2 linked regions of the Rattus norvegicus genome follow. The protein of the gene in region 1 purifies or fractionates together with the protein of each later gene. This does not show direct contact. Links are inferred from orthologs where the notes say so. Each region holds a gene or a part of one and is shown on either strand. Other genes may lie near its edges.

Region 1 (4,035 bases):
CATTTTCTTCTACTCTTTTTGATTCCACAATTCATCCCTTGGCTTCGCAGCTGAGCTATCCTAGCGTCTGAATTTCTCCCAATGAACGAAGCTCTCTAGTTCACTATTACCCTGAGATAATGAAAAGAATCTATTGCATTTTGCGAATTGTTTTCATCCACATACCTTCAATTATCCCCCAGTCACGGATCAAAAAATACTATTCGGTCTCTATTCAATTCCTACAAGTCAAGGCCTAGTAGACAGGCCAGCATCCTAGGACAGTCAGACCATGTAGGGTGGACCAGATGCTCTCTCCTTCGTTCTAGATGTGAGATTCTGGAAATACCATGCACACAGGATGAGAAATTGCACTACTCTCCTGATGAAAGGTAATGGACCCAGGGGCGTCAGAAGCATGATCTTTCATGCCCATCCACACCCGGGTACGCCACTTATAGGTGCTTGACCCAGGTCTAGAAGAACCCCAGCAAAGAAGGGGTGGGTCTCAGCAAACCGGGACGCGGTGGCGGCGACCCAAAGCCTACACCTCCGCCACAGCAACGGTCCCTGAATTCCCAGTTCCCACGGCCACGCAAGGGCCCATAGTCACAGCCGCACCCCCAAGCGGCGCGCCTGCCCCGGGGCAGGGCGGGGCCCGCCGCGCCTGCGCACTCCCTCTGGGCTCGGCGTCCCCCGCACGCAGCCCACGTGACCTGTGCCTTGCCCAAGATGGAGGTTGCAGCCAGGCCTGACCGGGCCCCCGTCACAGTCTGCGCTCTTGCGCGCCCCCTTAGAGCATGAGACATGAACTCAGGCACACTATATTGACCCGGGCAGCGCCGCGGGCTGCCGAGGAGGTCTGTCAACAGCATCAGTCAGTACGTGCACCAGCTCCCTGCTCTTTCTCCACAGCGAAGCTCTCAGAGCTAGCGCCTGGAGAGTCCTCGGTACGCCCCGCTCACTAGTATTGACAAGGCCGGGAGCCAATGGGGTTTGTAACTTTTGAGAGAGGCCGATCGAAGGCGGAGCCCCTTTGCAGCGCCCGCGAAGCGGGGGTGGCTGTTGGGCTATTGTAGGGCGGACTTAGGACTCTCGGACCAATGGAAGAGCAACTGAATTCTTGGAGGCGGGGCCGAGCCGTAATTGACGCTTTCTTCATTAGAAACCAGGCAGGGGGCGGGGCCCACGGGGGGAGGTGACGCAAAGCCGTTGCAGCCAATGGCTGGTGGGCCGACGGCGGGAGGGGCGGGGTTGGAGCGCCTGACGGGCGTAGGGCGCGGCCTATCCCCGCGCGGCTCTGCGCTCGAGGGGGAGCAGCATCATGGTTCAACGTGGGTCAATTTTTTGTGAATGAGGAGGGGAGGTTGTGGGGCCGCTGCCGCGGAGCACCATCCCCGCCGCCGCCCGAGCCCGAGCCCGCGCGCCTGCTCGCGCCGCCGCCGTCGCCGCGCCGCCTCACGCCCGGCCCGCTCAACGCGACTGCTGTCGCCGTCGCCGCCCGAGCCCGCCCGCCCGCCGGCGGCGGCGCAGGCTGAGGAGATGCGGCTCGGAGCGCCCGAGCAGGGCTAGACGCGGCCCGCCGCCGCCGCGGTAAGCCACCGGCCGTCATTGTCCGCGCCGCCCGGTTGCTGGCGGCAGGTGGACGCCCGGCCCCGCCGAGGCCTCGGGGCCCTGCGCCGCGGGCTGGCGGGCGGGAGAGCGGCCTGCGCCGGCGGGCGGGCAGGTGGGCGCGCGGGGGCGGGGGCCGGGGCGTTTATGTAACTTTGTCAGCCTGTGAGTTTGCAGAAAACGCCCCTCGGCGGCGGCGGGCGGCGGGGCGGGGGCCGCGGCTGGGCCCGGACGGTCGTTGGGCTGGCGAGAAGCTGCGCTAGCCCGGGAGACGACCCGGTGTCCACCCTGAGCGAGCGTTCCGAAGGCACGGCTGTAGCCCACACCGCCGGAGTCGGTCGGAAAGGCCGGGTGTGGAACCCGTGTTCTCCTTTAATGCACACGGAGAATTTGTTAATAACTTGCAGCCGCTGATAGCAGTGTTTTGGTTATTGCATGCTGTAAATTGACCTGCTGTGACACGATTTTCAAATAAAGCGTCGCAGAAATTAAACTTAAGTTATTTTAGAACTAATGACTTTCTTAACTAAATCCTAATTGCATTACTGTAGAGACCTACCTAATTGCTTTCCGAGAGCCACTCTGCCTGCTCGGGGAGGAAGGAAAGGCCTGTGTAGTCACTTTGCCTCCCTGCTTTTCTCTGCTCAGGCGTTTCTGCCTGTTCCCACAAACCACCTAAGCATTTAAGGCCTGCGGAGTATTAACGTGTAAACAGCCATGGCCCTGTCGCACTTTGGGGCTAGGGGGATGCTGGCGGCTTGCACCTTGACCTGGTTTCGGTTTTTCCTCCGTGATATGATCGAGGTTGCCAGGAGTTTTAATTGCTTCTGATAATTCCGTGCATTATTTCAGGACCGGCTTGATGAAAGCTAGTGTGGTGGTTTCAAAATCCATCCAGAAAGAAGGTGGTGGTGGTGGTGGTGGTGGTGGTGGTGGTGGTGGTGGTGGTGGTGGTGGTGGTGGTGGTGGTGGTAGAACGCTTGTGAGAGGCAAGGAGGTTGAATTAAGAAAACTCAGCTGCTTCTACACAAATATACACTATAGCAGTTACAAGGCAGCAAAAGTTATTGCAGAATTTTGCAGTCTCTATGGCAACACAATTACTCCATTATAATTGGAAATGCAAAATGCCACCCAGTTAGAAGTTTCATCAGAATGGAGTTTTGGATATCAAAAAAATATGCGAGATTTAGTTAAAAATTCTCATTTTTCCCCAGGTAGCTTCTGCAGCTCTAGTCTAGGTTCAATTGTCTATTTTTAAGACCCATTCGCTTTCCCAGATCTGCCACTCCTCGGGATCTGTGGCATCTTTCCCCAGAAGAACTCCCCGTTTGTGTGGGAGGGAAGTATTTTCATGCTTTAAAAACACACACCCGACACACTGTAAGACTTCTATGGCTTTCTGTGTTCTGGCTTTTCTTTTAAAGATCAAATGCCTTCCTGAAGAGCAGTAATCACCCAGAAGAGGCTGGGTTTGCTAGAAGGCCGAGGTAACACTGCCCCCTTTAGGGGTCTGCCGGCTGCTTACCGGGTATCTGAGAGCCCTGAGGGGGAGAGAATGACTGTGGACTGCAGAGAGGCCTGGAAAGCCTAGGGACCAAGGACAGATGTGACCAAAGCAGCCCTAGCAAGAACATTCTGTGGTTAGCAGCGTCAGGGAGCTGGGCAGCATATAAAGCCCCCAGGTGGCACCTTTGCAGAAGTCAGGGGCTGCTGCTGTGCGAGGTGGCAAGAGAACATGGCACTCTTCACGGGGCTCCTGGCACCTAGCTTGACTTTGGTTTCGAAGCTGTGTTAGGATGATGCCCCTCTTGATGTTTACCAGAAGAGCTCTGGTGCTGGAAGTTTCCACACATCGTGGGGCTGCTGCAGCTTAATTTCGTTATAACCCTTTCCTTTTAACTACTGCATATTTTTGCCCAGTAATCGACTTCCATTTTCCAGCCTCATTGTGAGGTTTCAATGCAGCATGAATGGCTTTGAATTCCAATCCTTTGATGTTGGGGGTGGCACCAAAGGAAAGGAGACTTTGTGCCGTCCTAATTGCCAGAGCAGAAGAAAATTTCATCACTCCTGTCGAGCCTCGTCCATGCCATTTTCTATTGAAAACGGCTGGTTTTTCAGAACTCTGAAGCTACCATAAGTAATACATTAATACCTGACGTGGGGAACCAGGGAGATGCAGAAATGAGAGACACCTGCTGCACAGGGAGATTGGGGGTGGGGCTCAGGCCCAAGACCAGGGTTTTTGATGTCTCTGGGCCCTGGGGTGACTGAGCAGGCTGAATCCAGAGTTGAGCTCATGTCCCATTGGTTGAAACCCAGCCTTGGGGAGGGGTCCCAAGGAGATTTTTGGGAATGGCTTTGTTTTGATCTCCAGTGACCATCTTGTGTCCTGCTGTTCATCCACCTCTGGGCATTAAGTGTGACACTGACCTTCGAGGT
Region 2 (3,500 bases), on another chromosome or scaffold:
GGATTTGCATCCATACTTTGACAAAACATCAAGAGCCTGTGTACAGTGTGGCTTTTAGTCCTGATGGCAGGTATCTGGCAAGTGGTTCTTTTGACAAGTGTGTGCACATCTGGAACACACAGGTATGTCCCATTAATTTAAGCTTCACTTACTAAGTTAGAAGCATTCACCTATTTACATACGTTTTTGTTTTTCTGTATGTGACATCAACTTAATAGTTTTAAGAATCAAAAAGTATTTGGGGGCATTTTATAGCTTTTCTTTTGTGCCCCATGAATCACCCTCTGTGTTCCCCATGTCTTGGTTGGTGTAGGTCATACTTAATACATTGCAGGCAGCCATTTTCTGTTCTGTAGTAGATTTCTACCGTTGTTTATTTGATGAGTTACTTGCTATAAACCATCACATCTAGTATTTTTCATTAAGTTGCACAGCTGATGCTCAAGAAGGTCCGTACTGAGGAGGTTTTGGCCATCTTTGCCTTCATGTCCGACAGTGACTGTTCTGCCTACCTTCTCTTTCATCCTTACTGAGTTTCATACTGAACAAAGCACCATGCTTCTAGCACACACTCAGCAGGGTCCCGTTTCTAGGTGGAGGATGATATTGCAGTTCCAAGCTTCCAGTATGGGAAGTGAAGCTGAGTATCCTAGGCTGACTGCTCTGCAGATTTGAAAATTCATTTGAATTTTACATTTAAAAACTAGCATTTACCTAAAGAACATCACTATGGCACTTTGCACATACTTTGTTTTTAATAAGCCTGTTTCCTGCTCCTGTCTCTGCTCCTCCGCCCACCTCTCCATTCACTTCCCCTGAGCTGCCCTTCCAATCCTCATGTCCTCCTCCTCTATTAAGGCCTCTCTGCTCCCTCTCGTAAAACCATCTCTAGTTTCATGATTTGCACTCCCATGCTAAAATGTAGGATACTCATGAAAAGGAACGTGTTGTATTTGTCTTTCTGAGTCTGGCATATTTTGCTTAACATTCCACTTCACTGATTTTCCTGTAAAATGTAATGGTTAATTTTTCTTTAAGGCTACATAATATTCTATTGTGTACTCCATTGCGATATATTTTTTTCTGTTGGTAAAATGTATATGTCCCTTGGTGACGAGTATGCTTCTTCTTCTGCATTCATTGTTCATTGTAGGTATTGTTTTAAGGAAGCTAAACATCCTAGTGGGGAATCACCAACACTAGAAAAACAGTTTGGGCTGAAACCATCCTTTGAGGATAGTCTGATAACATCAGTGAAAGGGGTTACCATAAAATTATTATTTCCAGAGGTTTAGAACTTGCCTATATTGTTATTTGAAACCAAGGCCCACCTCTGATTGCTAGAAAATTAATGCATCATCATATATTTTTGACTCATTCTAATACCTAATTAATTTAAAAAATTTTTATCTTTGACAGTTTATTTTGAGCCCATATACTACTTTTTAAATTAATTATTTATACTAAGTTTATATGAATTACTATAATTCTATAGTAGCCTCTTAAGTAAGTTCTTCCCTCCCTCCCCATTTTCCTCTCTTTCCTGCCTTTTCCAATTAAAAATTACTATATAGTACTTACACATAATAACAGGTTTCATCATGATATGCTTATAAATGATACAGAACATTTTGATCAGCCCTCCTCCACCATTCTCTTCTCACATTACCACTAACTCCTCCTATTTAGTTCTCTTCTCTAATGTCATCTGGGGGATTAAAATAGAGTTACTTATGGGAGCACAGGCAACTTTTCAGTGGGTACACCACTGAAGAAAATGTCCTTTCCTCCTCCATCAACCATTAACTACTTACATATTTTGGGGAGAGGAGGGATAGGGGTGAGGATGGGGTTTCATGTCACTTTCCTACATTATAGATTTTGATAATGATACTTAGGCGTCTGTTTTTCATATTTTTAGACAGGTGCTCTAGTTCACAGTTACAGGGGAACAGGTGGGATTTTTGAAGTTTGCTGGAACGCAGCAGGAGACAAAGTTGGAGCCAGTGCTTCGGATGGTTCAGTGAGTATGCACATGAATTTTTTTAAAGAGAAGGGGACATGTTAGGTACACAGTTGTGTTTGTTGCAAAATAACAAATTTTGGTTAAAATATCAACACCATTTCCAACACCTCTCCCTGGGCTTTGTGCTAAATATGTTCATTACATTTTGAATAATATGAATAAAACTTAGGGGTGACTTTGCCAAAGAGTCTTTATAAACAAGCAATGAGCAGTTTCCAATGTAAATCTTCCATTTGTGGAATTAAATGTCATGAAGTATTTCTTGCTAAATGGTAGTTTTAAAGCCCTTTCCCCAACTCTCCTCTCTGTAGAGGGGTGTTAGAGGTTGAAGAATGGAGGCTGATTTCTGCAGGGAGATATTTGGTACTGAGACCTCCAGGATGTGGTAATTATGGTCTCTACTGTTCCAAAGCAGTGAAAGCTGGAGAGGGAGAGCTGAGCTATTGGCGAGGTGGCCTCTGTAACTCCTGGTATCTTCTGTTCAGATCCGAGAGTTAGAAGCTGTCTGCTGTGTATGTTTCCCATCCCCTTTTCACTGACTGTAAGGACTAATTCCTAAACCTTACAGCAGCATTTCCACAGTTACTGCACCTCGCAAGGGCTCACGTCACAGCATGGAGACCTGATGCCCTTCAGTTAAGATTTATTTCCATGATTTGTTACTTTGATTTTATGAATATGCATCTTAGAGACAGACTGTAAATTACAATGTACTCTTTATAGAAGTTAAGCTTGCAATGTAAGGTAGATTTCTGGATCCTGGCTGACTATTGTCATCTCTTACAGGTTTGTGTCTTAGATCTTCGGAAATAGCGTTACTAGTTGGAAGCCATGGACCGACTATGAATGTGTACATAGCCACAAGACTATCCCTGACCCACATAACTGCTATAGTCCCATTTGAACCATGGCCAGTCCACTACAGCCAAATCTAAGAGAAATATATACATGCAGTGTATATGAACACAGCTGTACCCTGAAGATGACAGTCTCGTCCCAGCTTGTGAATTCTGCTCACCAAGTGCTGGGATCTAACCTGCTGTGCCCCTAAGTAGTGTTTAGAAGTTTGGATATGGAAACCAGAAGAGAAGGAATATGCGTTATAAGAGCAAACCACACATGTCCCAGTTTTGAATATCAATGACAGCCTTGTTTCTCCCCTTTGAATCAGCAGACACCATGGATTATATTTTTTCCCCTTCAGTAGTGCGCAGTTTGTATGTACAGAGAACATGGACTTAACAGAAGCTTGCGGCAGTAGTTGGTTCTTGCTTCCAAGTTTGTTTTTGGTTTAGATTACGGATGCATGAAGTAAGGGAGTGAATCATTTTCTTGCTTTTTTTTTTCCTCACCTTTTAAACAAACAAACAAAAAATAATCTTAAAAATATTTTCCTGCATTCTTTGGAAGAGGTAGATGTTTGGTACATTTGATGGCTCCCAGAGCATATACTCAATAGGTGCATATTGTGGAG

Evidence for each region. The genes of interacting proteins can lie anywhere in the genome.
Region 2: the proteins of Hdac4 (region 1) and Tbl1xr1 purify together in Homo sapiens (affinity purification with mass spectrometry; 3 studies listed by BioGRID and IntAct, with this or other methods). This does not show direct contact. The link is inferred for Rattus norvegicus from reciprocal best matches to the Homo sapiens genes HDAC4 and TBL1XR1.

The regions. Positions count from the first base shown.
Region 1 is NC_086027.1:100,194,838-100,198,872, reverse strand, and holds the start of Hdac4 (histone deacetylase 4), read left to right. Parts: upstream 1-1,235; 5' UTR 1,236-1,313; exon of another isoform or gene 1,314-1,572; intron 1,573-4,035. UniProt on the Homo sapiens protein: Responsible for the deacetylation of lysine residues on the N-terminal part of the core histones (H2A, H2B, H3 and H4).
Region 2 is NC_086020.1:106,849,165-106,852,664, forward strand, and holds part of Tbl1xr1 (F-box-like/WD repeat-containing protein TBL1XR1), read left to right. Parts: coding exon 1-122; intron 123-1,921; coding exon 1,922-2,023; intron 2,024-2,812; coding exon 2,813-2,839; 3' UTR 2,840-3,500. UniProt on the Homo sapiens protein: F-box-like protein involved in the recruitment of the ubiquitin/19S proteasome complex to nuclear receptor-regulated transcription units. Plays an essential role in transcription activation mediated by nuclear receptors.